4 linked regions of the Alligator mississippiensis genome follow. The protein of the gene in region 1 purifies or fractionates together with the protein of each later gene. This does not show direct contact. Links are inferred from orthologs where the notes say so. Each region holds a gene or a part of one and is shown on either strand. Other genes may lie near its edges. The genes, in order: ADRM1, PSMA7, PAAF1 and ECPAS.

Region 1 (7,427 bases):
GTACATGGTACTGTAGGAAGAAAGTATCTACGGAGGGATGATTGAATAGTTTAAACATATTTTTGAAACACAAACAGGGCAAAAGCAGTTTTTGAATGAAAGTATTTGGGTCTGTCTGTTACCCGTTGAAAGTGTATCCCTCCCACAATGGAAGTTACATGGTTGTATAACAAAAGATGGACTAAGTTAGGGACAGGAATGAGTGGCATTCTCTTATTTTAAAGTATAAATCAACTTTTGGTAACATTTCAAAAGAAGGGTAAAATATGCTTTCGTAGTTGCTGCATGGGCACTGGACTCATCATTTGAAAGATTTGTGGTACTATAGATTGGTGACAACTTTTTGGGTTACTGGACGCTGTGATTTTTGGTTCCCAAGATGACTGAAGGAGAGAAAATATATCCCTGATTAGTTAAGTGTTTAAAACCCCTTAAAAATTAAAATTCTCAGTAAATTAAAAGGCAGGGTTTTTTGTTTGAGAGAGAGAGAGAAATTTTCTCCTGCTTCAAGAAGTTTTCTGATTTTTTTTTTTTTTCCCCAGAGGTCTTTTCTAAAACTAGAATGTTACAAAAGACATCACATTGCTAATGATAATAGACCCTGTGAGAAAATGGTTTGTAACCATTTGCGCAATACATATGCCTGATTATATTCTCTCCTAAATGTAGTTCTCATTTCTCTCCTGTTTACTTTTGTTCACTGTAATCAATGTATCTGTACGTTAGAAATAAGCATACCTGTTTGTTTAGGATATGGACTAAACACTACATAATTTGGTAATACACTGTAATTTTGCCTCTCTGAAAACACCTGTGGTTTGGGTCAGTTGTACAATAAAGCAATATTTAAATTTATGTAAAGCTAACGGTTCTAATACAGAAAAAATGATTTTTGGTATGTTTTTATAGCATGTAAAAGATTAAATTGCTCATACCCAGAATTCCAGTCCACTCTGATTTACACTTCTATGAAGCTGCTTTTCTTTTGCCTTACTCAATTGCTGTATTCCTGTTAATTATTTACACACACTGTGTTTTCCTTATTCATGTTGCATGAAAATGTCAGATGATAAAAATGCTTTAGTGAAATGGATTTATTTTTATAATATTTAATAACTGTCAATACCCATCTATATTAACAAAGTCATATTTAGCTTTTTAGAGAAGTCTGTACAGGTTTGTGGACATAAATGTTAAACTGTAAATCTGAATAAAAGTCATTTTGAACAAGACATAAAATGCTTGGCATTACTTTTTTTTTTTTTCTTCACCCTCTCTGCAAAGTTTTCTTCCAGGAGAACAAAGGACCTTTCTTAGTAAATCAGATTTTAATTCAGTTCTAATATGTGCAGTGTTGATCTTGTATAATGCAGACTTCCAATTGAAACATCATGCAGTGGCAAACTGAATACCTACAGCCATCTAGTGTCGCACTTACTTTCACAAGCTAAAGCTGGTATTTTTAAAAAGTTTCAATAAAACTATGATTTGCATAAATTATGCTTCTGTCCTTTGCATCCCTGATTAGGCTTTCCAGGATTCTGTGATCCATGTTAGGTTAAGCAGCCTGTAGGAAAGTCATGTTTTGTCTTTAATTTTTGCTGTATTGTACCAAAAAAAAATATGTAAGGCTGGTTAGTATTTCAAGAGTAATTTGGAGAAGCACTAAAATGTTTCATTGCTGTAAGCTGCTCCTTTCCAGATCATAACTGACGATGTTACCATTCCTGTCTACTAATGCTAGCGTTTCTTGTTCCTCATAGGTTAAGAAAATTTCTTGTTGCCTGACTGCCCACAGATATATTTTTGGGAATGTTGGCAGCAATGACTGCGTTAATAATTATGAAGTGCAATCATTTTCTCCCTTCCGCTCCCTACTTTATTATGTATTTTAATTGCCGCTTTCACCTCTCAATTAACCAAGATCAATTTTTAATGAAAGAAACCTACTTTTTGTAATTTCAAAATCGGTACCGCATCACAAAAATACCTTTAAACTTACAATTGTTATTCAGATTTTTTTTTGACTTGATCTGTTTTGCTTAATGTCTTCAGCTTTGTGAAAGTGCAGCCTTTTGGAGTACCTCCTTATGGCAAAATGCTCTGAGGGAAGGGTTAAGTATTTGGACCTTTTGATAAGGAGAGGGGAAGGAGATCGGCTTGTGAGATTCTTACCGCATATGCCCACTAACTCTTCCCCACGTATGCCCACTAACAGGAGCCATTCCTCCCTCTTCCTTAGACTTTAGCATCTCTGCCTTGAAGGGTGTTGGACTGCTTTGCCCCACTGAGACCTTCCTCACGCCCATGTTGCGATTCTGCATTTCTGTTATAGAGGGGAAAATACCTGCTGGCCCATCGCCTTTCTGTTCCCAGTACTGGCTGTAAGCAGGTAGCGCTAGGCATCGCTGACTGCACGGCAGTACCTTCCTTGGTAAGTGTCCATTTGGGGTGAAGATTACGCAAGGATCTCATGGCTTTGTTCTGTTGTCAAGCTTTGCGTATAAAACATCTTTTTATCCTGTGTGCGTTAGCTGTTTGAATAGAAGCTGAAGCAGTGGGGAGACGAGTGGGACTGAAGTGTGTTGTGAGTTGTGTACAGGACTTGGACACTGTGGGTATCTCTGATATATTGTGATGGTGCTTCTAGCACCCACTCGGAGCCCAACGGTATGCAGGCCCTGTGCACATAAATAAGGAAAGCTGGGTCCTTGCAACAAATAGCTTTGGTGGTTGTGTAGAGCAGCGTTTCTCAACCAGCGGGACGCGGAGATCATGTAGGTGGGACTTCAACGCATTGCTCAGTGATTAATATGATACTAAAAGGCATGTAAACATAAAAAATACACTTCTCGGGGGAAAAGTGGGGTTTTGTTCTTATCATAGTGGGACCAGGGTTTTTTGACAAAATGGTTGGTGGGACGTAAGGTGCAAAAGGCTGAGAACCGCTGCTGTAGAGGAATTTGAGTCTAAAACCACACATGCACTTTAAGTGTGCACAGGCACTTTAAGGAGCCTTGTGCTGGGGGTGCCCCTTGCTGCTGCCCGCATTGCCCATGCTAGTGGTCTAAAACCACACAGGCAATCCTCTGCCTCTTAAGTCAAAATATAATTCAGAACCAACTTTCTCATAAGAAACAATGTTATAAATGGGAGAGAGGATATTGGGCCTTGGTTCAGGAACCAATTTTCACCAAAAATACCCCAGAATTTTGTACTCGGATCAATTATAGATGAGTCATATAGCTACATTAATGTATTTATATTGTAAATAGCAATCATATCGATTTGGAAGGACTTTGGTGACTTTGCTGGACTTTTTGAAGGGCTCTTGGCTGCAGGTTTTCTGGAGTCTCGTCTGCTTTGTTAAAGAAAACATCCAAGGAGGTTTGGACAGATGTTCTCCAGGGAGACGGGCGATGCAGCGAAGTTGTTCCCTGGCGCCGTGTCGCATCGCATCAAGAGTTGTGAAGTCGAAACTGACGTCAGAAAGTTGAAGCAAGGTGTCCGTTTATGAACGCTGTAAGTGCAAAACGTAAGTGTGGACGTTACAGCAGAGGGTATTGAGCGCTCGGATTTGAGGGCGAGGGTCAAACTCCAAGCAGGGCATCCCAGTGGCAGCACTTCACCAAGGCGGAGAGGAGCGAATCTGAGGGTGGAAATGGATGTTGCCTTTGTGCTGCCCTACTTTTCTTTTATGGCCGCACAAAAGCCAAGCAAGTGGTCGTCTATGCCCTTCCTACCACCAATGGGGTTGTGATGAAGGTGGTATCTGCTCGTGCCACTCCAGTTGCAGACCCCTGTTTGCTTTCCAGCACTTGATAAGTGAGGACAGGGCATGTTCCAGGTCCCACCGCATGCTCCTAGGGCGTGAAGGGCCTGATCCTGGGTGGGAGGGCCTGTTTTCCCTCCGTGCTATGGGTGTTGCTTACAGATGCTCTTCTCCCCTGGGTGTTTTCCACCCCCAGAGCCTGGGTTTCCACTGGAGATGTGGCTGTAGCACCAGTAGGGATTTGGAAACTGGTCTGTGCTGGGCCCCAGGCCATGCTGCAGCCCTGCAGGGCCAGGTCCTGGGGTAGCAGTTCCACCTGGCGCCGCTAGAGGCCGCTCCCCCTCTCCACGGGGAGAATGGGCCGTTCCATTAGCTAGAGGCCGCTGCCCCTTCCTCCATGGGGAGAATGGGCTGCTCCCTTCCTCCATGGGGACAATGGGCAATTCCATTAGCTAGAGGCCGCTACCCCACTCCCCCCGCGCGTGGTTCGGCCCGTATGACACAGCACAATGGCCCCAAACGCCGCGGCGCGGGGCATGCCGGGCCGGCCTCGCCTCGAGTGGCAGCGCCGCGAACCAATGGGGGGCCGAGCCGCGCGGGGCGCGTCCAACAGGGCGGCGGCGAGGGCGGGCTTCCGGTGCGGGAGCCGGAAGAGCAGCGCAGCCGCCAGCTCTGAGGTGAAGGTGCCGGGCGGCTCCCCGCAACATGTCGTCGGGCGCGCTGTTCCCCAGCCTGGTGCCGGGCTCCCGCGGCTCGTCCAGCAAGTACCTGGTGGAGTTCCGCGCGGGGAAGATGTCGTTGAAGGGCAGCACCGTCACCCCGGACAAGCGGAAAGGCCTCGTCTACATCCAGCAGACCGACGACTCCCTCATCCACTTCTGCTGGAAGGACCGCACCTCCGGCAGCGTCGAAGACGTGGGCGCCCGGGGGGGGGGAAATAAATCAATAAAGTGACAAAACAGGCCCGAATAAGCCTCAAACGGGGCGGGGCTGCCACGGGGGGCACAAATAGGGGCGGGTCTTACCCCCCCGGGACAATTGTTTGTGGGCACACCAACATTTAGTTACCCCCCCCTCCCCCCCCAAATGCTTTTGCAGGACTTGATTATTTTCCCTGACGACTGCGAGTTCAAGCGGGTCCCGCAGTGCACGACCGGCCGCGTCTACGTGCTCAAGTTCAAGGCGGGCTCCAAGCGGCTCTTCTTCTGGATGCAGGTTTGCGCGGCGGCGCCGGCCACGATCGGGGCGGGGGAGGGGGGGGGGCCGGGCCTGTCTCGACGACCCCTTCCCTTTCTTCCAGGAGCCGAAGACGGACAAAGACGAAGAGCACTGCCGCAAAGTGAACGAGTACCTGAACAACCCCCCCATGCCCGGGGCGCTGGGCGGCAACGCGAGCGGGGGCCACGAGCTCTCGGCGCTGGGGGGTAAGGCCCGTTCTCCGCCCCTCGGGTTGGGAAGGTTTATTTTTAAGTACAAACTCGCAGCTTTCTAAGAGCAAACCCCTGGCGAGTTTGGAGGGGGGGGAGACGCGAGCGCCGCTGGACGTGCTGCCGCCCCGCTCGCTTGCGGGACGACGTCCGGAGTCCCGCCTCCGAAACCAAGCGGCGTTCGTCTCTTACGAGCGTCTTGAATTAGCAAACGCTTGCAAAACGCTGTTTTTTCCCCATGCGAAATGATGCCGGTTAACCTCCAGCTGTTGGAGCGAGTGGGGGGGGGCTGTGAAAACTGTGTGAATACATTGTTTCAGGCTGTTTTTGTTTTTAGGTGAGGGTGGCTTGCAAAGCCTTCTGGGAAACATGAGCCATAACCAGCTCATGCAGCTGATCGGACCAACGGGCTTAGGAGGACTTGGTAAAAAGCTTTCGTATCTTTACGCTTTCGTATCTTTACGCCGATGTGGTGCTTTCTCCTGCTGGGTTACGTCTTACCTGACGCTGAATATTTTCGCGTGACTTTGAATAGCACTTCCCTTGTGCGAGGCGGCAAGGTCCCGATGCTGTCGCTGCCTCAGAAACAGGACGAGGAGACGAGAAACGAAGCAGCCGCGAGCTGTGCTCGGCACGTGCTTCCCTGGGGATCGATGCACAAGGGAGCTTTGTTTCTGGTCCTTGCCCCACTGACTGTTTCACTAATTGTGTCCTGTAAGCGTTCAGCAGAGCCCAGCTTCCCCCTCCCAGGCGTATGCCCCGATCCCCTGGCTGTGGCACACTTTTTCTCTGACTGAACACTGAATTATTAATGCAAGATGGAAGCATTTGAACGGGAGGGATTGAGAGCGTGTTTGGCCCAGAATAGTTTAGGGCCTGAATAGGGCCCTCTCTCCTGGCAGGCCAGCGATGTAGGTTTGAATCCTCTTCTGTCAAGGATGGAGTTTAAACCCTGGTGAGCAGTTGAGTCCCTTGAGTTATGCGAGGTTAGAGGTGACTTTGGCATCTTCTCTGAGGGCCCAGAGGAGATCTCTGAGATTCCTTATTTCTTACATTGGTTCCTTATTTGACATTGGTCTCTTCTTTCCCTGGCCTTTGTTTTTAGTGTAGAATAGCTTGGGTTGAAGCACGGTGCTCGTGTCCCTCAGTGTCAGGGCCTGATGTGCTAATTAACTTCCTGCGGGGAGAGGCAAGGGGCTTCTGCAGGTGGTGAGCATCTGGTTTTGGCATGGCTCTCAGCCCCTGCTAGCATAAGGACTGCCAGCCTGAAGTGTGGGATTTTGTGCTCTCGTATCTGGTTTGCACATCTCCCTCGGGGTACTTCTTCACTGCCACCCTTACCTGAACTGCCCAGCTGAGGTGGTCCCAGTGTAGTGAAAAGTGGTGCTGGCCTTGTTAGTTTTACTTTGTTGCTGTGGGATCAGTGTGATCAGGGACCAGGGGAGGTATAGGGCATGGTCTATTACTGCTGGGTGCATTCTGCACAGTAGAGGAATAAGTGGCTCTACTTCCTCTGACCTCTCCCATGCTATTCGGTAGTTCCAGCCCTTTGTGCATACGCTGATGGAGCACTGTTCTTGTGGCATCTAGGTTGTAACTACTTTCTAAAGGCTGAGCATCAGAATACAGGTGCTGGAAATGTCCACAGCAGTTGGACTTGGTATTAGGAGCCACCTCAAGGGGCACATGTGCTGATGGAGCATTTGGGCAGCATGTGGTACAGGAGCAGAATCCCAGGGAAGTCACTGAAAACTGGCACCTGGAGTGGGGGCTGGAAGTTAAGCTTTCTTAACCCACCTCCTAGGTTGTAGTATGTTCCTAGGTTGAAGGAATTGTACCGAGTTAAAGAGGTGAGGTGAATGCTGTGTGCCAGCCCCAGTAAGATTCCCTTCCTACATCAAGTGGAGGTGTAGATTACCCAGGGGGAAGGGACAGTGAGTGTTTGGTATGTTTCTCCCCTTTTGACTCAGTTTAAGTAATCCATCTGTCCAAACCTGTTGTTTAAAGCTGTAGTAGTGAATAGTAGTATGGGTGGAGGAGTCTTTGCATAGTTCACACATTCCCACTTCCTGTTGTCATGCATTGGTTCCCTGTGGCATTTCCTGCTCAGTGTAGTCCCGGAAGCACCTTACTCAGGCACCACACTCTGCTCTCGTTTGTGCTGTGTATCAGGTGCTTGACTCTCGAGCTGCTTTTTTGCTGTTGCATACCTGCTCTTGGCTAGTAGG
Region 2 (7,028 bases), about 170 kb from region 1:
CTAGTCGTCAGAGTGAGTGTGTAAAATTAGAAACTATGCATATCAGTTTGCAAGAATGTCACATTTGACTAAATCTAAAGACTACTACTGTAGCCTGCTCAGATGGATTGTAAATTACTTCTAGTACGGCAGTGTTTAGTACACATTTTTAATCCCGTTTGTCATTACTTCTGCTTGCTCTTCTGAAATCTTACAGCTTGAACAATGGGAGTTGGTTTCACTTTCGAGTTCTTTCTGCTACGAGGCTTGCTTACCAAGTTAACCTTTTCACTGGAATGAGAGAATCCATTTTTTGTTGCGTGTGATTTTTAAAACCTTGAGCTTTCAAAATTTAGCTTTTGGGGAAGATTCAAATGGAACAGGTTCACTTAACCTCCCCAAACTCCTGCTACTACAGATTATCACCATTTTATCTAAGAAAAAGTCATTCTGATCTGTATTTCTATTCCTTCCTCACAGGAGTAATTCACCCCTCTTCCAAAAGGGAAATTAAAATACATTTCTATCCTCAGTGGATGTCACTAGTTCAAGACATTTTCTCGTATTCGATTACCCCAAAAACAACCCTATGGAACCACAATTCTTACTACAAGGAAATAAGCAACCATCAGGGCATATACATACTCCTCCCATTTCCCACCTGCAATTATCCAAAGAACTTTGCTTTCATAGTTCATAAACCTACCTAATACAGTAATGCTCCAATAACTACCTTGTTTAAACTTGTTCCTAGCCTGGCGACCAGCAGTTAACAGTCCAATTAGCCAACATCACATACCTGCAAAAGCCATGCAGACATTTTCATCGAGGGCACAGATCTTCCGCACAGTTCGTTCATCCTGAAGCTTTGCAACAGATTTCTTTTCCACACCAAGAACTACGATCTCTTTTCCTCTTACTCCAACCTTCAATGAATTCAAAACCCAAAGCAGTTACAACATTCCCAAGTCCAATAAGAATGTTTGTTTTTTTTTTAAACAACAAAAAAAGTAATAATACAATGAGAAGCATCAAATAATTTGCCTCATCGTTGTACTGGACATCAAGCTGAAAAATAACTGATGTAAGAGAACAAAAATTAGCCCATATAATGGGACAAGTCTGAATGGTTCTTTTTATACACCTGTTAGTCCTTCCAAGAAGGCATCTCTATATTTGGTTCTTAAAATCACTTTTGGAGCTTCAGTTACAACTATAACCAGGGTTTGAAATACAGGGGAGCTCAGGGGGTGCTGAGCCCCTCATAAGAGATGACAGCACTCTTGTAAGATTTGAAAATCATAGCACGGGGGGTCTCCAATTACATTAGGGCATCGTGATGGGCAGCCCAATTCGTTTTTGGAGACCCCCTCCCCAAGAGTCAGTGTAATTCGAACCCTGGCTGCAACTGATCAGCTGCTAAATCCAATTAGACCTAAAGAGAAGTCCGTTAGGTATGTCAAGGCTCATCACAAGCTAAGACTGAATCACAGACTAAACAACAAAGCTTAAATTGAATGGTCCTCAAACAGATCTGCTCTATATTCCAACTCTTAGGTTATTCTATGTGCTTCTACCTCTCCTTCGCCAGGAAGAGAAGGGACTGACACTGGGTTTCTTAAGACAAGAAGCGCCACGTTGGGTCGGACCCGCGGTCCAGTCACCCCAGCAGTCTGTCTCCAACAGCAGCCAAGTATACGCTACACAGAGAGCGCACAAAACCAGGTTTCTCTAATGCGATCCAATCCATCCCCTATTCAGCACCCTCCCGGGCATCCCCCGTTATTGTACAGGGATGAGAGGGGAAACATCTCCAACCCTTCTGTTCACCAGCCATGAACGGATCCATCATCCATGAAGTGACCCACTCGTTTCTGAACCTGGCCACGCTCTTGGCTTCACCACCTCCCGCGGCAACAAACTGGTTCAAGTTTTCCACAACCAAACTGCCGAAGCGAGCTCCTTCCTGGCTGGGAGATGTAGCTAGTCCAAGTCAAGTGAGAAGATGGAGTAAGTCTGCACCTCACAGACTACCCCGAGCCTAGATCATGTACGTAAAAAAATAAACAAATACAGACCCACGTGCATCTCTATATCTATCTATAGAGCTGTATGTAAGTAGGTATGTCTGCATAGGGTGTGTGTATAAATACTCATACATTCCCATATCTACACACACACCCTATGCAGACATACCTTCTTACATGCATCTCTGTATCTATCTATAGATCTACATGTGAATGTGTATTTACTTTATATATCTGTAGATCTCTATGTAAGTAGGTAAGTCAGCATGATGTGTGTGTGTGCGCGCGTGTGTAGGCACATATATCTGTCTATACGCATGTATGAGTATTGATATACACACCCTATACAGACATACCTACTTACATATAGCTCTATAGATACATATGGAGATGCATGTGGGTCTGTATTCATCTTATATACATCTCCATCTCTCTACACGCGTGTAGGAAGGTATTTGCACACGTGCCTTTGCTGCATGACCTCGCACCACGCGGGTGTGTATACGTGCATGCGTGCATTTGAGGACAGTATGTGCACATATATGTGGAGAGAGAGAGAGAGAGAAAGAGCAAGAGGCCAGTGTGCACACATGTATGTAGGCAGGTGTGTCTGTATACAGAGTGTGCGTACGTGGCTGTGAGTGTACACACGTACATGTACACCCACACACATTCACACGCACGCCAGAGGGATCAGGACTTGTTTCTCATCACACCAACTCGATTTTTCAACAACAAAAAAAAAAGTCTATGTTTTTGCACGCGTGTCGCGCAAGTGCAGGCGGCGCCCCCCGCGCTGCTCGGGCCCTCCCCCCGGCGGGTCCCGTGAGGCCAGGTCAGGACAGGCCCGGCGGCACACTCACCGCGGTGGAGCCCTTCTTGACGGCCTCCTGCGCGTACTCGACCTGGAAGAGGTGGCCGTCGGGAGAGAAGACGGTGATGGCGCGGTCGTAGCTCATGGCGGCCCCGGCGCTGCCTCAAATCCGCACACTCACCGCCCGCCCCGCCCCTTCCGGCGGACCGCCCCGCCCCTTCCGGCGGCCCTTCCGCTGTCACGCGCCTGGCCTACGCCTTCTGCTTCCTGTGCGCCAACTGCGTAGGCGCTGCGTTTCCCCACCCCCCTTCATGTTCTACCTTACGCACTTGGCGTACATACCTGCGTGTCTCCCACCCCCCCGTTTAACGTAGCCGCCGGGTTTATCAAGGTGGAGGATTTCCTCTCCGCTCTTGGCGTACACGCGTTCTTTGCCTACGCCATTGACGTAGTTATCAAGGTGAAGTTATCCCACGCACTTTGCGTAGGAGCGGGCATGATTTCCCTCCCCCCTCCGGCTTCACGCTGCACTCCACGCACTTGGCGTACATGCCGCCTTCCCTACGCACTTGGCGCACCTGGCTGCCGCTGCTCGCCTGCGCCAGGAAGCCGGGGCGCGGGACGCACCATGTGCAGCGGCGTGGGGGGGAGCGGGGGAGGGGCTCTGCGGTGGGCACCGCCCCCGCCCCCCCCCCGGACCCGAGCCGCTGGGCCCCCCCGGCGCGCGGGGCTGTGGCAGAGGGGCGCGGGGGGCGGGGCCGGCGCGGGGGGCCGCGGGGCGGGGCGTGGGATGTACCATGTGCGCCGGCCACCCCCGCGCACTGCGGACAGCCCGGCGCGGCGGCGGCGCCGATCGCAACCGTGAGCGCGGGGCCGGGGCCGTGCCAGGGACCCGCCCCCCCCCGCCCCCGCCCCCGCCGGCATGTCGGTCGCCTTCGCCTCCGCCCGGCCCAGGGCCAAGGGCGAGGTCACGCAGCAAACCATCCAGAAGGTGAGGGGGGGGGCATCGCCTCACGGCCCGGGGGGGAGGGGGTCACAGCCGGGGGTGGGGGATGGGGGCTTCATCCATTATTCACCCGGGCACGGCGGGGGGGTGAGCGCCGCCGCCGTCACCACCACGGTCCTGCGGTACGGTCACCATCCGTGTGAGCATAGCGTTATTACCGGGGGTATTCGCGTTATTAGCAGTAGTGCTGGCATGATCGTCACTGTTACTATTAGTGTTGGCATTATTAGTATTATCAGCGTTATTAGCATTATTAGTAGTATTAGTATTAATAGTATCAGTATTGGCATTGTTAGCATTGGCTTAGTATCATTAGTATTAGTGTTATTACTAGTATTAGTATCACTAGCATTATTATTGGTATTGACATTATTATTACTAGTATTATTTCTATTATATTACAAGTATTATTATTATTATTATATTACTAGTATTAGTAGTAATAATAATACATTGTTATTATATTACTAGTAGTAGTAATAATAATGCATTGTTATTATTACTGCTACTAGTATTAGTATTGTCAGCATTAGTATTGGTTTAGTATCATTAGCATTATTAATAGTATTGGCGTTATTACTAGTATTAGTATCATCAGCATTACTATTACTATTGGTATTATCAGCGTTACTATTAGTATTGGCTTTATTAGCATTAGTATTAGTGCATTATTAGTATTAGTAGTAGTATCAGTGTTGTTAGTGCTAGTATCAGTGTTATTGTTAGTATTGGTATTATCAGCATTATTGGTATTGCCATTATTATTAGTATTGGCATTATCAGCATTGTTAGTAGCATTGGCATTATTAGTATTAGTATCAGCATCATCAGCATTATTATTAGTATTGTTATTTGTATTAGTATCATCATCAGCATTATTATTAGTATTGTTATTTGTATTATCATTAGTATCATTATCAGCATTATTATTATTATTATTGTCATGTGCGGTTGCACTCGTCGTGGCTTAACGCCAAAGGGCAGAGGTTTCGAGGGGCTTTCTCATCGGGCTCGGTCCCTGCTGGGCTTCCCTACAGAAGCGGGTGCTGAGGGGACCCACTTGGGAAGTTCGGGGGATGCTTTTGTAGGAGAAGACGCGCGAGGGTGATGGGCAGGGGGGAAGGAGCCCCTCCCAGGCCCTGCTGCCGTCCCCGGGGATAACGGAAGAGGTGTGGAGGTGTCAATAAAGAGCGTGTCTGTGCTGTCGATTGGTTTTGCTGAACAATGCCTGTCATGCCCAGCTCCAGCCTGCGTGCTCTGTGTTTGCCCTATTGCGATGTGCGGGGGGGGTTGCGTTGTGCGGGAAGGGATGAAGGTCTGATGTAGTCCATTTGTAAAGGATAATGGCGAACAAAAAAAGGTGTCAGCTCTCAGCAATCAGCTGTTTAGGAGGATTTCCTGCAGTCCAGCTAGCATCTAGTGCCAGGCTGTGAATTCTGGGGCAATGCGTTTTGCTGGAGGACGAGGTCAAGATTCAGGAAAATGAAGGCAGAACAAAGTACCCCGAGAGAGATGTTAGAATCTCGCATCTCTAAATGCCAGGAGAGCATTTGGAAACTCGTTCCATTTTGCCTAATTCTTGGAGCATGTGAGACGTTGTCATCAGACCCACTTCATTTCAGAGGCTAAAATATTTAGACAGCAGTGGCAAAAGGTGCAGCTTTATCCTTTATCTGGATTTTTGTGGGTTTAAGGCAGAATTTCACATCCTGTGTAGGTTAGTCTTTTAAGTTCATTTTCAAGGTTTCAGTGTAAAGGACAGTCGTAATCTCTTAATTGTCCACGCACTTTCCCTCCTGTCCGTGATAAACCTAGTAATAGTTTGGGGCTGCAGTCTGTTTCTTGGAAATATATAAAAATCTTTTCCTCTGACAAGTACACTCCATGCTTTCTACATTAGGCTTGCTCCTTGAGTTCTTGATTCTTGGCAGTGATGGTCTTTTTTGAAAAGCACTGACGCTTTTATCTGAAAACAAATGCATAAAAAAATTAACTTGACTTTGCCGTCATATATGGGGGGCAGGGCGGAATCTAATTTTGGGGCAGGAAATTGCAACAGTGTGCGTTCATCAGAAGTCAGACTTTATAGTAAAAGATATTTTTCACAAAGATGCTTGTTTTCGGCTCATGTTTGAATACACAAGCAGCTAGTTTTTATGATGCATGCTACTGACTTGCTTTCAAAAGCTCCTTTCAAGCCTTTATCCTTCCGAAGCTAACTATAATCCTTATACAAAACTTCATGTGAGGAAAGTGAAAGACTGTAGGATTGCAGATTGACTGTAGCTCATGGAACAGCAATGGGCATTAATATTAACCTTCGATTTACTTCTCTGACAGATTAGAGCCTACTTCTTTTTAGCAGTGTTATACTACAGTTATTCTCTGGTCTTTTTGCAACAAACAGTTGTGTTGCTTGGATTGTCAGCACTGAATACACATCCAGAGGTGACGTTTGATCCTTAAACCGTCTTACTAGACATGAGGATGCCAGCAGCTGAGCTGTTCATTAATATTGGAAAATATTTTGAGGGTCCTAAGATGATTACAGTTTTTCAGGAAAAATGATCCTCTCCACTCAGTTGCAGAGAATTGTATTAGACTTTCCACAGAATATCTCCATCTACATCATCGTAGGTTCGACACAAACAGTGAGTCAAATGAAATCAGAGCTTTGTTGGGAATATTTTGATTTCAGAGGTTATTTCCCAGATGCCATGCATCCGGACACCATGCCCAAACCATACAGGAGACGCATGAATCTCGCCTGCCACAATTCTGACTCTTCCCATCGTCGGCAGGGAGGCCTTGCTGCTGGCCTGTCTTGGTAGGACACAAGAGATGCTCCATTCCTCAGATCCCCTTGACAGGTGTTGCAGAGATGCGTGCTGTCAGGAGTTGTGATCAGCAGTATGCCCCCTGGCCTGGTGATGACATGCCCCTGTTTGTACAGTCTGTAGAAGCCAGAAATCTGGATTCTGCTTGTCCATTTGCTGTTGACCAAAATATGGGACTACGTGATGCTGCTGCTGCTAATTTTTTCCATGGTTTGGTCTTTGTTTTTAAATTTGTTAAGAATCCTTCTGCATCATTCCTTAAAGAAAGCAAGCAACTGCATGAACAACTAGATACCTAGATGAGATGAAACGTATTTCAAGAAAATGTTTTCCCTTTCCTGAAGATGCTGCGTATTCAAAAATGT
Region 3 (7,533 bases), on another chromosome or scaffold:
TAGAAATGGAATAGAAATATGACAGACCACCCAATTTAAGAATAACTGTGACTGAACTTAACTGTTTTTCTTTGATGTATACACTTAGCAGATTGAAAGACTGGAATACTTACAGCACAGTACTCTGCTTAGGAGGAAAAATAAGAGACAGAGACAGAGAGAAACCTGGGAAGCACATAACATTCAGATGTACAGAAGCAAAGCTGGACTGCAAATAAGAGTCGAGTACGACACTAGAAGAAGGTGGCTGAAATAATTTCAAACTCCAATATATCTCAGAAGGGAAGAGTAGTACAATCACACCTAGAACAACACGTACCGTTTCACAGATATTTATAGTCAGATACTGATGAACCAGAGGGAGCTCACAGAAAAACAACACAAATATGGGATGAGAAGATATTGATTTGCAAGGAGGAAAGAATGACGAAGAATGCGCGTGGAGGCAGCAGGTAGCAAAAAGATACTAAAAGCATATTAATTAAACTAAAGAAATTTTTTTGCAAAAATACAGTTGGTTGAATAAAAGATATCACTTCTACCTCGAGTCCTGATTGCTTTTTCCTCTAGACCAGTATGGCTATAACCTGGATACCTAAAAGCAGCTTGTGCATTTGAAGGGTACAAGTACCAAGAAGGGGGAAGTACTCTGTTCTATTGGAGCTCTTATATCAGTGTCACCACCAGAGTATCTATGCACCGTCCAGCAGTGCATTATGAGACATAGCTAACTTCTGGTGCACAGCTCACCCTCTCTCCGACTACCATCTGCGTGCACTGTTAAGGGCTGTTATTTTCAGTTTCATGTGCTGCTCTGCCTTTTGGTTACTCAGGACAGGATGAAGCCACACAACCTGCACTTTCAGCAGAAAGCGGGAGGTTCACAATGGTCGTTTAGTCACAGAATTTGGCCCACAGTCCAAGAGGCTCCATATCCGGCACAAATGGGCATTGCCCAGAGAGTGGAAGTTTCCACTGGCCCCAATGAGCACAGATGCCTGCCTAGGACTCCAGGTCCCTTTACAGTAAAGTGACCATATTATTTTAAGGATCTGCATGACACTGCCTCCACCCAAAGTCAGCAGTGCTGCTGCAGGTGGAGACAAGCAGGCAGGGCTGCTCTGTGCCCCTGCAATCTTTCAATTTTCACCAACTGGCTGGGACTAGCCTATGAAATCTGGGCATGTCCTGAGCAAACCAGTCACCTCACTTTACAGACAATGACCCGGGCATACTGCACTTCCGGTCAGACAAGAGGTGAGGAAGGCAGGCAGAACAGACAACGAGGTGCTGTTGAATCAATCACATGCAGGCTGAGGCATGATGCCTGTCAGGCTGACTGTAGTTTGCTATGAGCTTAGATTAGGGTTATTCTGGGCTGGGTTGGACAGGGCTGACTGGGGGGGTTGGACTAGCCATGACCTCTGGAGGCCCTGTCCAGCAGGGACTCTTCAACAGAGGAAAGAAGGGCTGAATCACAGAGCAGCGGAGCTGGACGGGGAGCTCCCACCCAGCCCAACCCCTGCCTGAGGCAGCATCAGCCCTGCCCAAACCAGCCCACACGAACCCATCATCCAAGCTCAAAATGACACAGCCCCAGGCACTGCACCAGACCCTGCCACAGGGCGAACAGCAGGGCCGCGGCCGCCAACGTCCTGCTTCTACACAAGGTAATTAGCAGGGCTCCTGGGTTTTTTTTGTTTGTTATTTTTTTTTAAATCAGAGAAAAAAGTCCCCCCCCCATTGGTATTATTTATATGTTTATACACTTTGGGTTCATGTTTCTATACATGCGCAACCACGCTATTATATGGCCATAAATTTATATTTATATGGCCATCCCCAAAATAATTCTTGGATATAAAAGTAGTAACCCAAAACCCATATTTTTCCATGATTAAAATGAAACACTACTAACACAGAGATATAGATATTGTGATGTTTCATTTTAATCCTGGAAAAAAAAAAAAATGTAGATTTTCAGGTTACTTTGATAAAAAAAAATCCTCAATTTTTAGTTACAAAAAAGGTAACCCAAACTCTGCATTTTTCCAGGATTAAAATGAAGCAACACTTACCTATACTGTGGCCTTTCATTTTAAATCATGGGAAAAACGTGGATTTTGAGTTACTTTGATTTAAAAAAAAAAAAAATCCCCAATTCTTGTATATAAAAAAAGGGAACCCAAAATCCGTATTATTTCCATGATTAAAATGAAGTGCCACTAACATACAGAAATACAAATATATAGAGAGAGGTACAGATATATAGATATAGTGGGGTTTCGTTTTACTCATGGAACAAAGCAGATTTTGGGTTATTTTGATTTAAAAAAAAAAATCCCCACTTCTTGAATATAACATGGATTTTGGAAGACTTCTGTTTTCCATTATTAAAATGAAACGCCGCTAACATACAGATCTATATATTATGGCGTTTCATTTTACTCATGGAAAAACGTAGACTTTGGGTAGCTTTGATAAAAAAAAAATCCCCAATTCTTGGATATAAAAAAATAACCCCAAATCCACATTTTTTTCCAAAATGCCACTAACATATATATAGAGATATAGATACAGTGAGGTTTCCTTTTACTCATGGGAAAATGTGGATTTGGGGTTACGTGTTGATATCTAAGAAATGGGGATTTTTGTTTTTAAAATCAAAGTAACCCAAAAATCCACATTTTTCCGTGAGTAAAATGAAATGCCGCTAACATATCCATACCTATACCTATATACCTCTACCTATGCACCTATATATCTATATGTATAGTGATAGCCCCCCTCGCCCGCCGGCCCCGCACTCACCCGGGCTCCTGCAGCTCAGCCAGGCCTCGCCCTCGTTCCTCCTGCAACGGCAGAAACGGCCGTTAGTGACGCACCGGTGGGGGGGAGGGGAGAGGGGGTCACGGTGGTTAGGGGCGACGGCGGCTCCCACCTCAGCACCTGGTGCCAGTCGCTCTGCACCCGCACGGTCGCCGCCATTGCTGCACCGCCCCGGAAGTGTATTCTTTTTTCCCCGCCCCGGAAGTGCATTCCCTTTCCCCCACCCCGACCCGGAAGCGGGTGGAGGAGGCTCGGCCAATTAGAGCGCGCGTCCTCTTCCGGGTCCTGCCACGCTCTTAAAGGGGCAGCCGGTGTAAGAGCGCAGGTAAAGACCTGGGTGTGGTGGGGCTGAAAAAAGGCCATCCATGAGTGGTGTCTTCATGGTGGATCTCAGTCCTTGTGGGTTTTGTTGTTGTTCTGGTCCCCACGCTGTAGATCCACGAGATGTCCGGCTCCCCAGGTCACAACTGGAAGCAGAAGCCGGAGGACGAGGAGGACCCTTTGGACCAAATGATCTCGCGCACGGGCTGCGCTGCCTCGCACTACGCCGTCCAGGAGTGCATGGCGGAGCACCAGGACTGGAGGAAGTGCCAGGCGCAGGTGCAGACCTTCAAGGCGTGCATGAAGGAACATCAGCAGCGGCGCGCGGAGGAGCTGCAGAGGCGGCAGCAGTTGGCCCAGGCCAGGAACTGATGAGAGGAGGCCGCAGCCTGATGCTCAAGAGACCCAACGTCAACATCTGATCAGCCTTTCGCACACCTGAACCATGCTGCTGACTCCAGGAGGGGTCAAATGCTTTGCCCCTTGGCCTGTGTGTGTGCAGACTGATCACCCTAATCAGGAGCTGAGATGATGAAATGACACTGAATATTTTCTAGTGGGGAATCCTGGGTGAAAATGCATTTAATTTTGGGGGCACAAATTAAATGTGGATTCACTCCTGATGTAAGTTCTTCTCTTGGGCCAAAGAGCGTGATGTAGCATTGCACATGCAATATTGCCGTGGTCTCCGCTCAACACGTGTGTGCTATGGAAGTCTTGTAGGAAAAAGACTGGGTGCCACGTGGATTTATCTAAATTGCTCCAGGTGGGAATTTGCCAGGACATCGTGCAGCATCTGTCAGCTGCAAGGACCCTGGGCTACGTACCAAGGAAACTCCCCTCGCTTAGTTGCTGCTAGGCTGGAGAGTCACGGCCTGCTCAATCCTGCTGGTGGGGAAAGGGGGCACGTAGCTTTGCTGTCTCAGCTCTGCTCTGAAAAGCTTCACGTAGGCGGCTGCGTGGAATGAAGGACGAGCAGCAGAGTCAACTCAGCCTGGCCTGAATCTGATAGTTCAAGGGGGCTGCGTGTTTTATTTCCAACACGCACGCGCAAGTGCGTAAATGAACTTTAAAAAAACAAGCGCTCGGGTACCAGCCAGCCAGCATCAGGGCTGCCCCCTTAGCTTGTCCCCTTTCATAGAGAAGCAGGTCTGGAAGGGACCCCCCCAGAGGTCATCTAGTCACCCCTATTCAAGCCATCCCATACAAATCCAATGTTAGCAAAATGACACCGTCAAACCTGACACAACACAAGGCAAAACACCCTAATCTGCCACAGGTAAAGCAGGGGGACTACAGCAGCCAACATCCTGCTTTCGTCTCCCCTCCCCAGGCCTTTCACCTGCCCTGGCATCGCCACGTGGCCTCTCCTCTATTTCTTGCTGTTCCGAGGTGCATTTCTCCCCGCCCTGGTGAGATCGAGCCGGGCTGGGCACTGTACCAACCTCCTCCGGTCCTGGGCCAGGTGCACACCCTCATCTGGTATCACGAGCCCCGCTGGGACCCCAAGACCAAGGGCTACAGTGGCACAGAGCTGGCTTGGATTAGGGCCAGGGCCACAGCAGTACCCGAAGTGGTCTTCCTGGGCAACCTCTGGGGCAGCTGCAGTCTACTTCTTCAGAATGTAAGGCTGGGCAACAACAGCACCTATGGGGTGTGGATCCATGCTGTCCAGCCCCAGGGGTCGACGTTGAAGGCCACGGACAAGCAGCAGCATGAGCAGTGGATGGAGACGATCCAGGTGCAGGTGGCAGGTGAGGAAATCCAGGTGTTTGGGCTCCCAAGCCCCTCCCACCATGGGGGAGAGAACCCAGGTGGGCCTGACCTCTTCCCCCCCCCCCCACAATGGGCCTCTCCACCGCCCGCCTGGAGGGTCCATGGCTGCTGCAGGAGGGGGTCCTGGCCCACCTGACCTGCTCCTTGCCCCACCACTGCCCCCTGCAGCCCCTAGGCCTGGCCTGGGGGGCTTGGAGGGCCTGGGGGGAGAACAGACCCAGTCCTGGGCCTGGCTGGACCTGGAGGGCGCCCACACCACAGCCTGGCTAGACTTCACCCCCCAGTGAGAGGGCCACGGCCAGGCTCTCTCCCACGCCTGGAGCTGCATGTGCTCTGTGAGTGGGGTGGGGCAATGGGGGTGTGGCTAAAGGGTGGGGGCGGGGCCATTGGGGCAGGAGGCAGGGCCATTGGGGCAGGAGGCAGGGCATCACACAGGGGGCAGGGTTGCTGGTATTGGGGGAGGGATAGAAGACTGGGGTGGGGCTAAAGGAGCAGGGGGAGGGGCATATGTCTGGGGGCGGGGTCTGGAACCAGTGGGTGGGGTTATGGCTGCAAAGGGGTGGAGGGCAGAGGCATTGGGGGTGGGGTCTGGGTGTGGCTCTGAGTTTCAAGAAGGGTGTGGCCCAGGGGGCAGGGCCACTGGGGTAGGAGGCGGAGCCTGGTGTGAGACCAGTCTCCTAGCTGAGGGAGCACTAGGGGGTGGGGCTAGGTCATGGCAGGAGGGAATTACAGCCTGAGGGCAGAGCTCCAGCAGCAAGGAGTGGGGCCACTGCCCCCAGCCTGGGGCTGCCCTGGGGTGCTGGGGCCCAGATGTGCCCAGGTCTGGGCTGGCACATCCAGGCAGCAACCAAGTGTAACAGCCCCTGCAGATCCCCTGAGGAACGTGACGCTGACACTGCCGCCAGGACCAGCGGTGCTGGAGGGTCAGACTGTGAAGCCAACCCCCGTGTCTACCAGTACCTTTGGTCCCAGAACTGGAAAGCACTGGGAGAGCATGGCCCCATGCTGGCCTTCCGGGCCTGGGCATGAGGCTCTATCGGCACCTACCACTGCATGGCCCAGAGTCCCCAAGGCATTGCCACCTCCCCCCCACTCTGCCTCTCTGCGCAGTGTGAGTGCAGGTGGCCAGGGCTGGGGGCAGCTGGGCGGTCGGAGTCGGGGGTCAGCACACGCATGCACATACATGCATGCACCCCCGTGTCCCCCCCCAAGCATTCGGGACACACGCACACAACCCAGGTGACTGGACCATACCCCCTGCCTCCCTTTGCGAAACAGCATCCAGTGTGGGGGAGTGGGGAGCCCGGCTGCCTGGGTCCCCTCCACCTCTGGGAGGGCTGAGGTGCCCTGTGGTGTTGTGGGGGAGCCCAGACACCTGGGTCCCCTCCCTTGCCACCCCCCACCCTTGCAGATGTGCCCCAGGCTGTGGCACTTGAGCTGTAGGCAGCACTGCCCATCCATGCCAGGGACCCCATGGCACCGCTCTGTTCCTGCCAGGCCAAGCCCCTGGCTGCCAACTTCAGCTGGTTCCAGGATGGGCAGGACCTGCCAGGGCAGAATAGATGCCGGCTGGACCTGAATCCAGTGCATCCCAAGGACACTGGTACCTATGTATGTCAGGCCCGCAACCCCTTCAGCGCTGCCTGCTCTCTCCTGCTGGACCTGGATGTGCTCTGCAAGTAGCTGCCAGATGGGGCGGGGCTCCTGGGCTGTCCATCACCATTGGTTCCCCCCTGTGTAGCATTGGGCACAGGCAGCCAGCCAACCCAGGCAGATGCCTGCCTGTCAGTCATAACAGCAGGTGCTGGCCCTCAGCCAACCCTGGCAGGTGGCTGCCTGTCCATCACCCTCAGGCCCTGCTCCCTTCCAGTACCAGGCTCAGGCTCTCACCCAACCCATGCACCTTCCTCCCTCCAGGCCCCACCCACCTGCTCTAGGCCCCTCCCCTTGCCTGGCCCTGACCTCTGCCCTCCCTTTGCCCTCCCAGATCCACCAGAGGAGGTGCAGCTGGTGCTGGAGCCCAAGGGGTCGGTGCTGGCGGGGGCAGCACGTGGCTGAACTGCACCAGGGGCCGACTTGCCCCATGCCCACCTGGACCTGGTACTAGGACTGGCGGTCCCTGGTAGCCCCCAACCAGGGCCCATGCTGGAGCTGTACATGGCCCCCCAGAACCACAGCCCCTCAGCTGCATCTCATCTACCAGCCCACGAGGCCCAGGGCTCCCCCACCCCCCAACCCCACCGGTTGCAGGGCTGCCGGGGTCCTATTGGTGTGTGGCCATGAATGGGGGGCTGGGAGCTGCCCCAGATGTGGGGGTTGCAGGGGGAGTTGCTCCACCCCCATACATAGGGCAGTAGTAGGGGTAGTTTTTGTGGAGAGTGGGAGAGTTACTTGGTGCGAAGATGCAACAAGCTGTGGGGTGGGGAGCAGCTTAGAAAGGGCTGAGTATAACACTACATAGGGGATAGCAGGGGGCTTACCTGGAATGGAGATGCAGCCAGCTCTGGGGTGGAGCTCCTGGAGACCGAGCAAGTGTAATGAAGCTCAGGGAGGGTTTAAGCCAGCCAAGGGATGCAGCCAGCTCTGATAGAGACCAGCTAAGTAGAA
Region 4 (7,431 bases), on another chromosome or scaffold:
ACTCTTTGGATTGCATTCACTGCCCTGGCTGGACAGCATCTCCCGCTGCCTCATTCCCTCCATCACTGTGGGGTCCTCAATCTGCCTCCCTGCATGCCCCTTCCCTCCCACAGATTTAACAGCCAGACACTGCTCTCCAAGCTGTCGTCAGGCTTGCATTCCTGTAAATCAGCTATTGGATTGGTATCGGACAATATGGCTGGTTAATAATCAGCTATTGGTATTAGCCAGAAAAATCTGTATCAGTGTACCCCTAGTTAAAATGAGGCAAAATCTTGCAGGTATGGCCTTAGACATGGGGTGGGAGCACATCTAGAATAGTTATAGCAGCAGACTGGGAGTCAAGATTTGTTGGTGCTACTCACTCACTGGGTGAGTCAGGCAAATATCTTCAAGAAACATACCTGTCCAAGTCACTCATCAAGTTTACAAAAGTAATATTTTACCATGAACAAGCAATTTTCCTTTTATCACCATGTTCCTTCATTTCAGGCAAAGATATGAACAATAAAAGTTTGAATTTCAGTGAGCAGTGTCAAGTTTAGTCTCTCTCCAAAAATGGCTTTCCCCTATTTTGCATCTCACTGCTTACAGTTCCAAACCCTATTTGTTGATTTTACATAATGTTTTAAGATATGACTAGTTTTAATTATTCATCTACTAAATGCAAGTATCCTTATAAAAGTTTAACCAAGTGTGTTTTTCCTCATAAAAAAAAGCAGCTACAAAGTTTATTGTAGCCAAGCACCCACAAACAGGAACAAACTGGCTTTCTAATCTAAAAGGAAATAATCATTGCTCCCTCAGGAGTTCGCACTCTCCCAAAGATCAGGTTCTTTTCAACAACACTGCAACTAGACTATTTTATAAACACGCATACTTCTGAATCGAAGAAAAAACTGGGGAGATTCCCTGCATTCTGAATTTCTTATGCTTCTGATAAAGCTCACCTTTGACACTCCAACCTTTCCATTCTTGAAAAATGAGATATTAGAAAAAATCTCTGTCCTCTCTCTCCACAACACACACAGAAACCATATGCATACTTCCAACAAAATCCCTCAAATTCTGAAGTCCATACTGTATGTTTTCTTTCGGTACAGCTTACAGATAACTAATTCTCTTAGCAATGATTTAGATTGCCTGAGATCTTCAATTAGTGCAACATCGGATTGCTAAACCAGAGTCTCACCTACTAGATATTCTTCCTGTCCTCCTTCCAAGCTCTGATTTAACTTACATGTGACCAGCAATCCAGTGATAATAGCCACAGGACACTGGAGTGAAAAAAAACCCAACACCCAAGTTCAAATTGGAGGCTAGGAAGACGAGACACTCCATAACGTGGAAAAAGAAACGTGTCCATGAACAGGAATTATTATACCAAGAATCTCAACTAAATGAATAAGTGAAGACATCAGAGTTGTAAAGTGGAAAGAGGAGGGATTTGATAAGCGTCTGTGATCAATCTTTCTATACTATAACATGACAGTGTTATAGTATGACAAATGACTCCTACCAACTGTCAATGGAATAAGCAGGCTGGGATTTAGGGTGATCAGTGAATCCTGAAGGTAATCAATCCTCATTGCTCCTCGAGATTCTGGTTCTTTGGCAAGATCAGGAAAACACAGCAAAATCTTGGTGTGCCAAACTCCGCTCACCTTATCCATTTGATAACAGAATTTCAGCACACTAAAGGGGTACTCTCCAGCAAAGAGAGCAGGGGACAGAGGGCCTAAATTACTCCTTGTGCAGTAAAGCACGGTTTAATCCTCAAGGGCAGTAGACTGCAAATATGTCAAAACTGCTCTTCCTCTTACAGAGTTTCTTATGGCGATGCCAATCCCTCACTTTGTTCAGCCCAGCAATCCCCTGGCAGAGTTCAGGAACACCAGGCTGCCAGCTGGGTTCTTGGTCTTCTGTCCGCATTTCCTCTTACAGGGTTGTTACATGACACGAGAAGCAGGAGCACGGTACAAAACACTCCTTTAAATCTGGAGCCTCCTACAGACGCAGGCCTAGCCTTTGTCATACCGGAACTGGTGGCAGAGTTGGAAGGTTTATTTAAAAAAAAAATAAATAAAAAAAACAGGTTTCCCTTGCCAACCATGAGGGTAGGTTCTTGAAAGATCCCATGGCTGGCAAAACTGTGGTTGGCAAAACCAGCAGGGCTGGGGGAGCAGGGGCCGTGGGTGGGGGTGAGTGGCACCAGCAAGGCTGTGGGGACAGGGGAAGTGTGAGAGGCATGAGCAGGACTACAGGAGTTGTGGGGGTATTTTCAGACTGTACCCCCCCTTCTCTGAAGCGTGGATACTCAAAACCGTGGCTGGTGAGGGAAACCTGTACAAATAAAAAGCCACTGTGCTAGATACCCTCTGTGGGCAACAACTCAGACCTGTGCCATGTCACTCAGCCTCTCCCTACTGGCCTCATCCTGCCCAGGGCCCCGCGTGGCCACAGGATCTGCACACAAGGGTGCTGGGGGGGGGGGGGGGGGGGCGTAATTTGCAGTGCATCATTAGCTCAGGAAATACCCAACTTTCCTCACCCCAGGATTTCCTCTTCTACCATAGGGCTGGTTACACAGGCGCAAATGGACCAGGCCTGCCCAGGGACGGGTGCGGGGCTGCCTGGGCGACAGTGCCAGCGCTGGGCGGATTACACCCATACCCAAGATGGGAAAACTGAGCCTCCAGCTGGGGCGGGGGGCAGAGGGCGCGGCCACCTGAGGTGGGCCTGGCCGGGGCAGGGGACACCCGCCGCCTGTGCGCGGGCCCGGCCCGACATGACTGTGCACAGCGGAGGCCCCGGACCCGCCGCGCGCACCCGGCCCGGCCCGGCCCGGCCCGCGGGACCCCCCGCCCCAGCACGGCCTCCGCCCGCCCGCCCGCCGCCCCGGCCCGGCCCGCGCCGCCACCACCGCCCCACTCACTCAGCTCGTCGGAGGCGGCCGCGGCCATGTTGCCGGCGGAGCGGGAGGCGTGTGCGTGCGTGCGCGTCTCCCCCGGCGGGCGCCCCCGGCCCCGCGGCTGCACAGCCGGCCCGGCCCGGCCCGGCCCTGCCCTGCCCGGCTCGGCCCGGCCCGGTCCGGCCCCGCCGCTCCTCCCCCCGCGCTTCGCTTTCGGTTTATATTTAGAAAGAGCTGAGCCATCGCCTCCCGCTCCCCCGCCCGGGCCCGGCCGGCACCAACCTGAGTCCACTGTGACCTCCATGCCGGGGGATGCGGCGGCGCTGCTCGCAGGGCCAGGCCGGCCCGGGCCGGGGCGGGCGGCGGCGGCGGGAGTCCTTGCCCCTGTCTGCGGCAGGAAGGTGCAGCTGGCGGAGGCGAGCTCCTCTCCCTCCGCCCCCCGCCCCGCCCGCCTGCGGCACCCCGGGCCCGGGCCCGCCAAGGGCGGCGGCGGGGCTCAGCAGGCCCGGGCCGGTGTGGCGGAGACCTCAGCCCACACCAGGGCAGCACGGCTGCAGCCCGGCGCCTTCCCCTCGGACATCTCCGAGGTACAGTCAGGGAGAGGGGCCCTGCCTGAGGCCAGCTCATCTCCAGCCAAACTGCCCCATACGTGACCCCCCCAACTCTGACAAATTGCAGGCCACCCATTTAAAATGGTACAACCTACAGGACCACCAGCACGTTTTTCAGCTCAACCTTAAGTACCACCAGCATATTTTTGTCACGTAAAGCAATGGTGGTCGATCTGTTAACGTGTACCACTGACAGGTTGTCTATGTACCACTGGGGGTACCTGTACCACAGATTGGGAACGGCTGGTCCAGGGGATGGATAGGGCATCCCTATCCATGCTGCCCCATCATTGCACCCTGCATAAAACTACCCTCAGCCCAACACCCCCAACCCTGCCACAGGTAAAGCGGGGGAACCATGACAGCCAACCGCCTGCTTCTATAAAATGTCCGTATGAGTATGGCGAGAGGTCCCGGGTAGAGGCCTTAAGTTCCTGGAGCTTAAAGAGATTTTGAGGAAGAAATATTTTGGTGTAGGCAGCCTGCCTGCCACCTGATAACCCCAGACCTGCGTGTTGTACATTGGCTTCTGTTCCACCATGGAGAACACGTGTCACCAGGATACCCTCCCTATGCCTGAAGAAGGGGGTTGGTGCCCAAAAGCTTGCAAAGAACAATTTTTCCAACTATTTAGTTGGTCTAATAAAAGATATTGCATTTACCCAAAGAACCTTGGCAGCCAAAGAGTGATGTTGCGGTCATCATGGGCCAGAAATTGTGTGACAGGCAAGGATTTCTTACTATTGAACCAACTAGGTCGTTGGGATAAAGTTAGGCAAGCTTTGGAAAGGGAGATACTCTTCCTCCAGTATCACCTGCATGAGAATGAGACCAGTCTTACATTGGAAAGCTTGTCTAAGTTTATCCCAACAACTTAGCTGGTCCAACAAAGGATATTGCCCTAAGAAATCCTTGTCCCTCTCATTTCACTGTAGGGCTGCTTTGGCCCTTGAATGACTGCTACTAGTAGAAGTGTTGCACATAGCTGTGCCAAGAGAATCCTTCAAGGAACCATCAGTCTTCAACACATCTGTAGCTTCAGAACAAAAGAAAGTTCAGATCATTACAAAACAGTTGAAGCTGCCTAATTTCAACTTTTCTGTCATGTAAAGTGATTTTTACAGAGATATTAAGAATCAGCCACAAAAAAACACCACCCCGCCCTCCAGGGCTTCTCACAATGCCCATTACCAATCTGAGCTACATTAAGGATTATGCTGACAAGTGGCTCCTAGGAGAGCGATACATTCGGTCTCTTGTGCTGTAGCATAATTTACAGCAGACCCCACGGTGCACATTTGTCAGCTTTTTCTAACAACTGAAGGTTCTTGTCATAATCTTATAAGACATGGCATTTATTTCCTCTGTTAACTAACAAGCAGGTGGATTGGAGATCTCCTGCCATTGACCCTATTATGAACCAGTCTGAATACCTGCAGTGTGTGTCTTTGTCATGGGTTTCCCATGTTAGGACTTTGCAGTTTGCTTTGAGAATCCACATGGGAGCAGATGAAACACAAAACACAGATCCTGCACCAGGAGGAATGAGTGTGGGGGTAGGAGAGTGTAGGCCCAGCAGTCCCCCACCCCCAGGTTTCCCACATATTTGCTACACTCATTCAAGCTGTAACCACAAGCCAAGTGTTGAATTTGGTGAGGGTAGGTAAACCCAATTTCTTCCATAAAAAAAACCAACCCTTAAGGTGATAAAGGACTGGACAAGTCAGATGCCAGGGCTCTCAGTGAGTTATTTGATTTTGTAGAGAGATGTGAACAGACCAAAGAAGAGAAACCACATCATCCCCCCCTTAACATCAGAACTATCAAAGAATGGGCTAGAAAGAGTTGAACAAGTTGGACTCAACTCTTAGGTTGTGTTCACCTATTAAAAGAATTTGTGGACTTGGGAAAAAGCCAGAGAGACTGCCTGCTAGCAAAGAAAGAGGAGCGAGGTATATCAGAGGCCTAAGCGAGAAGCACACTCCAGGGTGGGACTACTGTTTCAGTGGATAAAAAGCATCACAGCTCCTACTGATGGGCAGAGTTTTCTGTGACAAATAATTTCCTTCATAAAAATTAGGTTTCAGTTTACTGGAAATGGTCTGTCTTTGAGAGAATGCTGCTGTCAGTTCTCCTGAAATTAAGAGTTATCTTCGGTCTCAAATCTTCCAGGTAACAAATTTCTGTACCCTAACATGCAATGGATTATTCAGGGTTTAAACCTGGCCTTGTGGCATTTAAGTGAGATGTAAGAAGAAATGGAGGGAGAAGGAAGGTCAAGAGTTTTTAGGCTGTGAAGAGAGTAGTGAAAAGGAAATACTGAAAAGGCATAGACAAAGAGTTTTCTATTGCTTTCATAATGATCAGAAATTCAGTTAAATGGATGTTAGCTAGTTTGACGGTTGGATATAGCAGACCACCTTTTTTCTGGGGCTCTTGAAGGAATTCCTCATGCTTCATACTATTTTTCACAGATCATCAGTTATCTCCTGGCATACCCACACATACATGCACATCATATTTGATTCTCCTGTGCAGGGGTGGGCAATTATATGGATTGGAGGACCACTTAAGGAGTTTTGGTAAGCTGACAGCAGTCTACACCTGTTTACAGGCTGTTTACACTGCCCAGCATGATGAACAGATGCCAACTGATCCTATCAGGGCCCACCTACCCTGCACCCACCACCAAGGCTACCAGGTGGAGTGGTGGGTGGGGTCTCCATGGAGACTGGATCAGGACCCCATGGGCAGAGACCAGTTGCTGTCCATGGAACTGGCGCCCATCACAGGGACATGTGGGGAAAGGATCACAGCTCTGCCCTGGGCCTTGGTCCCACACTGTGCCCACCCCGTGATCCCAGCCCTGGAGGCTCCAGCTGCCTGTCCTGCTCCTGGATGCCACTCACCACCCAACTGTGGCCCCTCCCATCAACCCAGCAGAGCACACTCTGCTGGCAGGGGTCCCAAGCCAGTCTCCATGGAGAATCCCTCCTGTCTGCCCACTCCATCCAGCACCCCTGGCAATGAGTGCAGGGTGGTTGGGCTGGGGTGCACAGGCAGCAAGGCCAGGTCTGGGGATGGTGGCAGAGACACTGGCAATGGTATCCAGAAGGAGCCACCATCACAGGGGATGCCAGGAAGTCAAGCCCAGCTGCCACACTGCCCCTGCACCATCCAGACTTGCAGACTACAGATGCTGGCATGCCCAAGAGCCCCACATGGGGATAGGGTGGGCTTTGCTCTGCAGTAGGTGGTACCTCCACACCCAGGGGCAGCAGGACCAGCTGCATGCACCACAGCCCAAGCTGTCCCTTGAGCCTGGGCCAGGCAGGGCCAAGGGACCCGCTGCGGGCTGGATAGAATCACTTGGTGGGCTGTATTTTGCCCACCCCTGCTCTTGTGGCATCATAGGCTTAACAAATTGTGACAGAGCAGAATTTGAAGAAATTAGAAAAGCAGACTGGAAGTGTATGACTGGGCTCTAGACCTGCCTTAGCCCACGTGTCAAATTAAAATGTTTAAACCCTTCCTAACATTCACAGGAAAGTTTTCCTATGTGACTGCATAGTGATCAGAGTGCAAAGAAGCAACTTTGAGAGGATCAGTCCTATTCAGTTAGATCAAGGTACTTATTTATCAGTAGGGGCTATAGAAAAAAAACAGCAGGAGAGTGAAACTTAATAAGATCCTAAGAATCAAATGCACAAAACTAGGAAAAAGGGTAATCAGGTTAACTAGTTGGTTCTTCTTGCAGAGGGAAACATGAGTCAGAGTAATTGCTGCAGGTCTTACATTTCCCCAAAGACACAGATAAGTAGAAAACCAAGTTCATCCCAATCAAGATTTTCTGTATAGAAAAGGAGCATAGTTGTCAGCAGGGGCTACATGCATTTATAGATCAAAATT

The links.
Region 2: the proteins of ADRM1 (region 1) and PSMA7 fractionate together in Homo sapiens (co-fractionation; 3 studies listed by BioGRID, with this or other methods). This does not show direct contact. The link is inferred for Alligator mississippiensis from reciprocal best matches to the Homo sapiens genes ADRM1 and PSMA7.
Region 3: the proteins of ADRM1 (region 1) and PAAF1 purify together in Homo sapiens (affinity purification with mass spectrometry; 3 studies listed by BioGRID and IntAct, counting the BioPlex papers as one, with this or other methods). This does not show direct contact. The link is inferred for Alligator mississippiensis from reciprocal best matches to the Homo sapiens genes ADRM1 and PAAF1.
Region 4: the proteins of ADRM1 (region 1) and ECPAS purify together in Homo sapiens (affinity purification with mass spectrometry; 3 studies listed by BioGRID and IntAct, with this or other methods). This does not show direct contact. The link is inferred for Alligator mississippiensis from reciprocal best matches to the Homo sapiens genes ADRM1 and ECPAS.

Annotation. Positions count from the first base shown.
Region 1 is NC_081832.1:5,777,692-5,785,118, reverse strand, and holds the start of ADRM1 (proteasomal ubiquitin receptor ADRM1), read left to right. Parts: upstream 1-4,412; 5' UTR 4,413-4,477; coding exon 4,478-4,687; intron 4,688-4,870; coding exon 4,871-4,987; intron 4,988-5,072; coding exon 5,073-5,196; intron 5,197-5,536; coding exon 5,537-5,623; intron 5,624-7,427. UniProt on the Homo sapiens protein: Component of the 26S proteasome, a multiprotein complex involved in the ATP-dependent degradation of ubiquitinated proteins.
Region 2 is NC_081832.1:5,945,041-5,952,068, reverse strand, and holds the start of PSMA7 (proteasome subunit alpha type-7), read right to left. Parts: upstream 3,013-7,028; 5' UTR 2,966-3,012; coding exon 2,870-2,965; intron 906-2,869; coding exon 779-905; intron 1-778. Other genes in the region: SS18L1 (calcium-responsive transactivator), read left to right, coding at 3,743-3,811.
Region 3 is NC_081824.1:466,976,599-466,984,131, forward strand, and holds the start of PAAF1 (proteasomal ATPase-associated factor 1), read right to left. Parts: upstream 3,015-7,533; 5' UTR 2,989-3,014; coding exon 2,942-2,988; intron 2,853-2,941; coding exon 2,812-2,852; intron 1-2,811. Other genes in the region: cytochrome c oxidase assembly factor 4 homolog, mitochondrial, read left to right, coding at 3,274-3,522; uncharacterized protein LOC132248652, read left to right, coding at 4,376-4,904. UniProt on the Homo sapiens protein: Inhibits proteasome 26S assembly and proteolytic activity by impairing the association of the 19S regulatory complex with the 20S core.
Region 4 is NC_081826.1:165,611,796-165,619,226, reverse strand, and holds the start of ECPAS (proteasome adapter and scaffold protein ECM29), read right to left. Parts: upstream 3,013-7,431; 5' UTR 2,964-3,012; coding exon 2,936-2,963; intron 1-2,935. UniProt on the Homo sapiens protein: Adapter/scaffolding protein that binds to the 26S proteasome, motor proteins and other compartment specific proteins. May couple the proteasome to different compartments including endosome, endoplasmic reticulum and centrosome.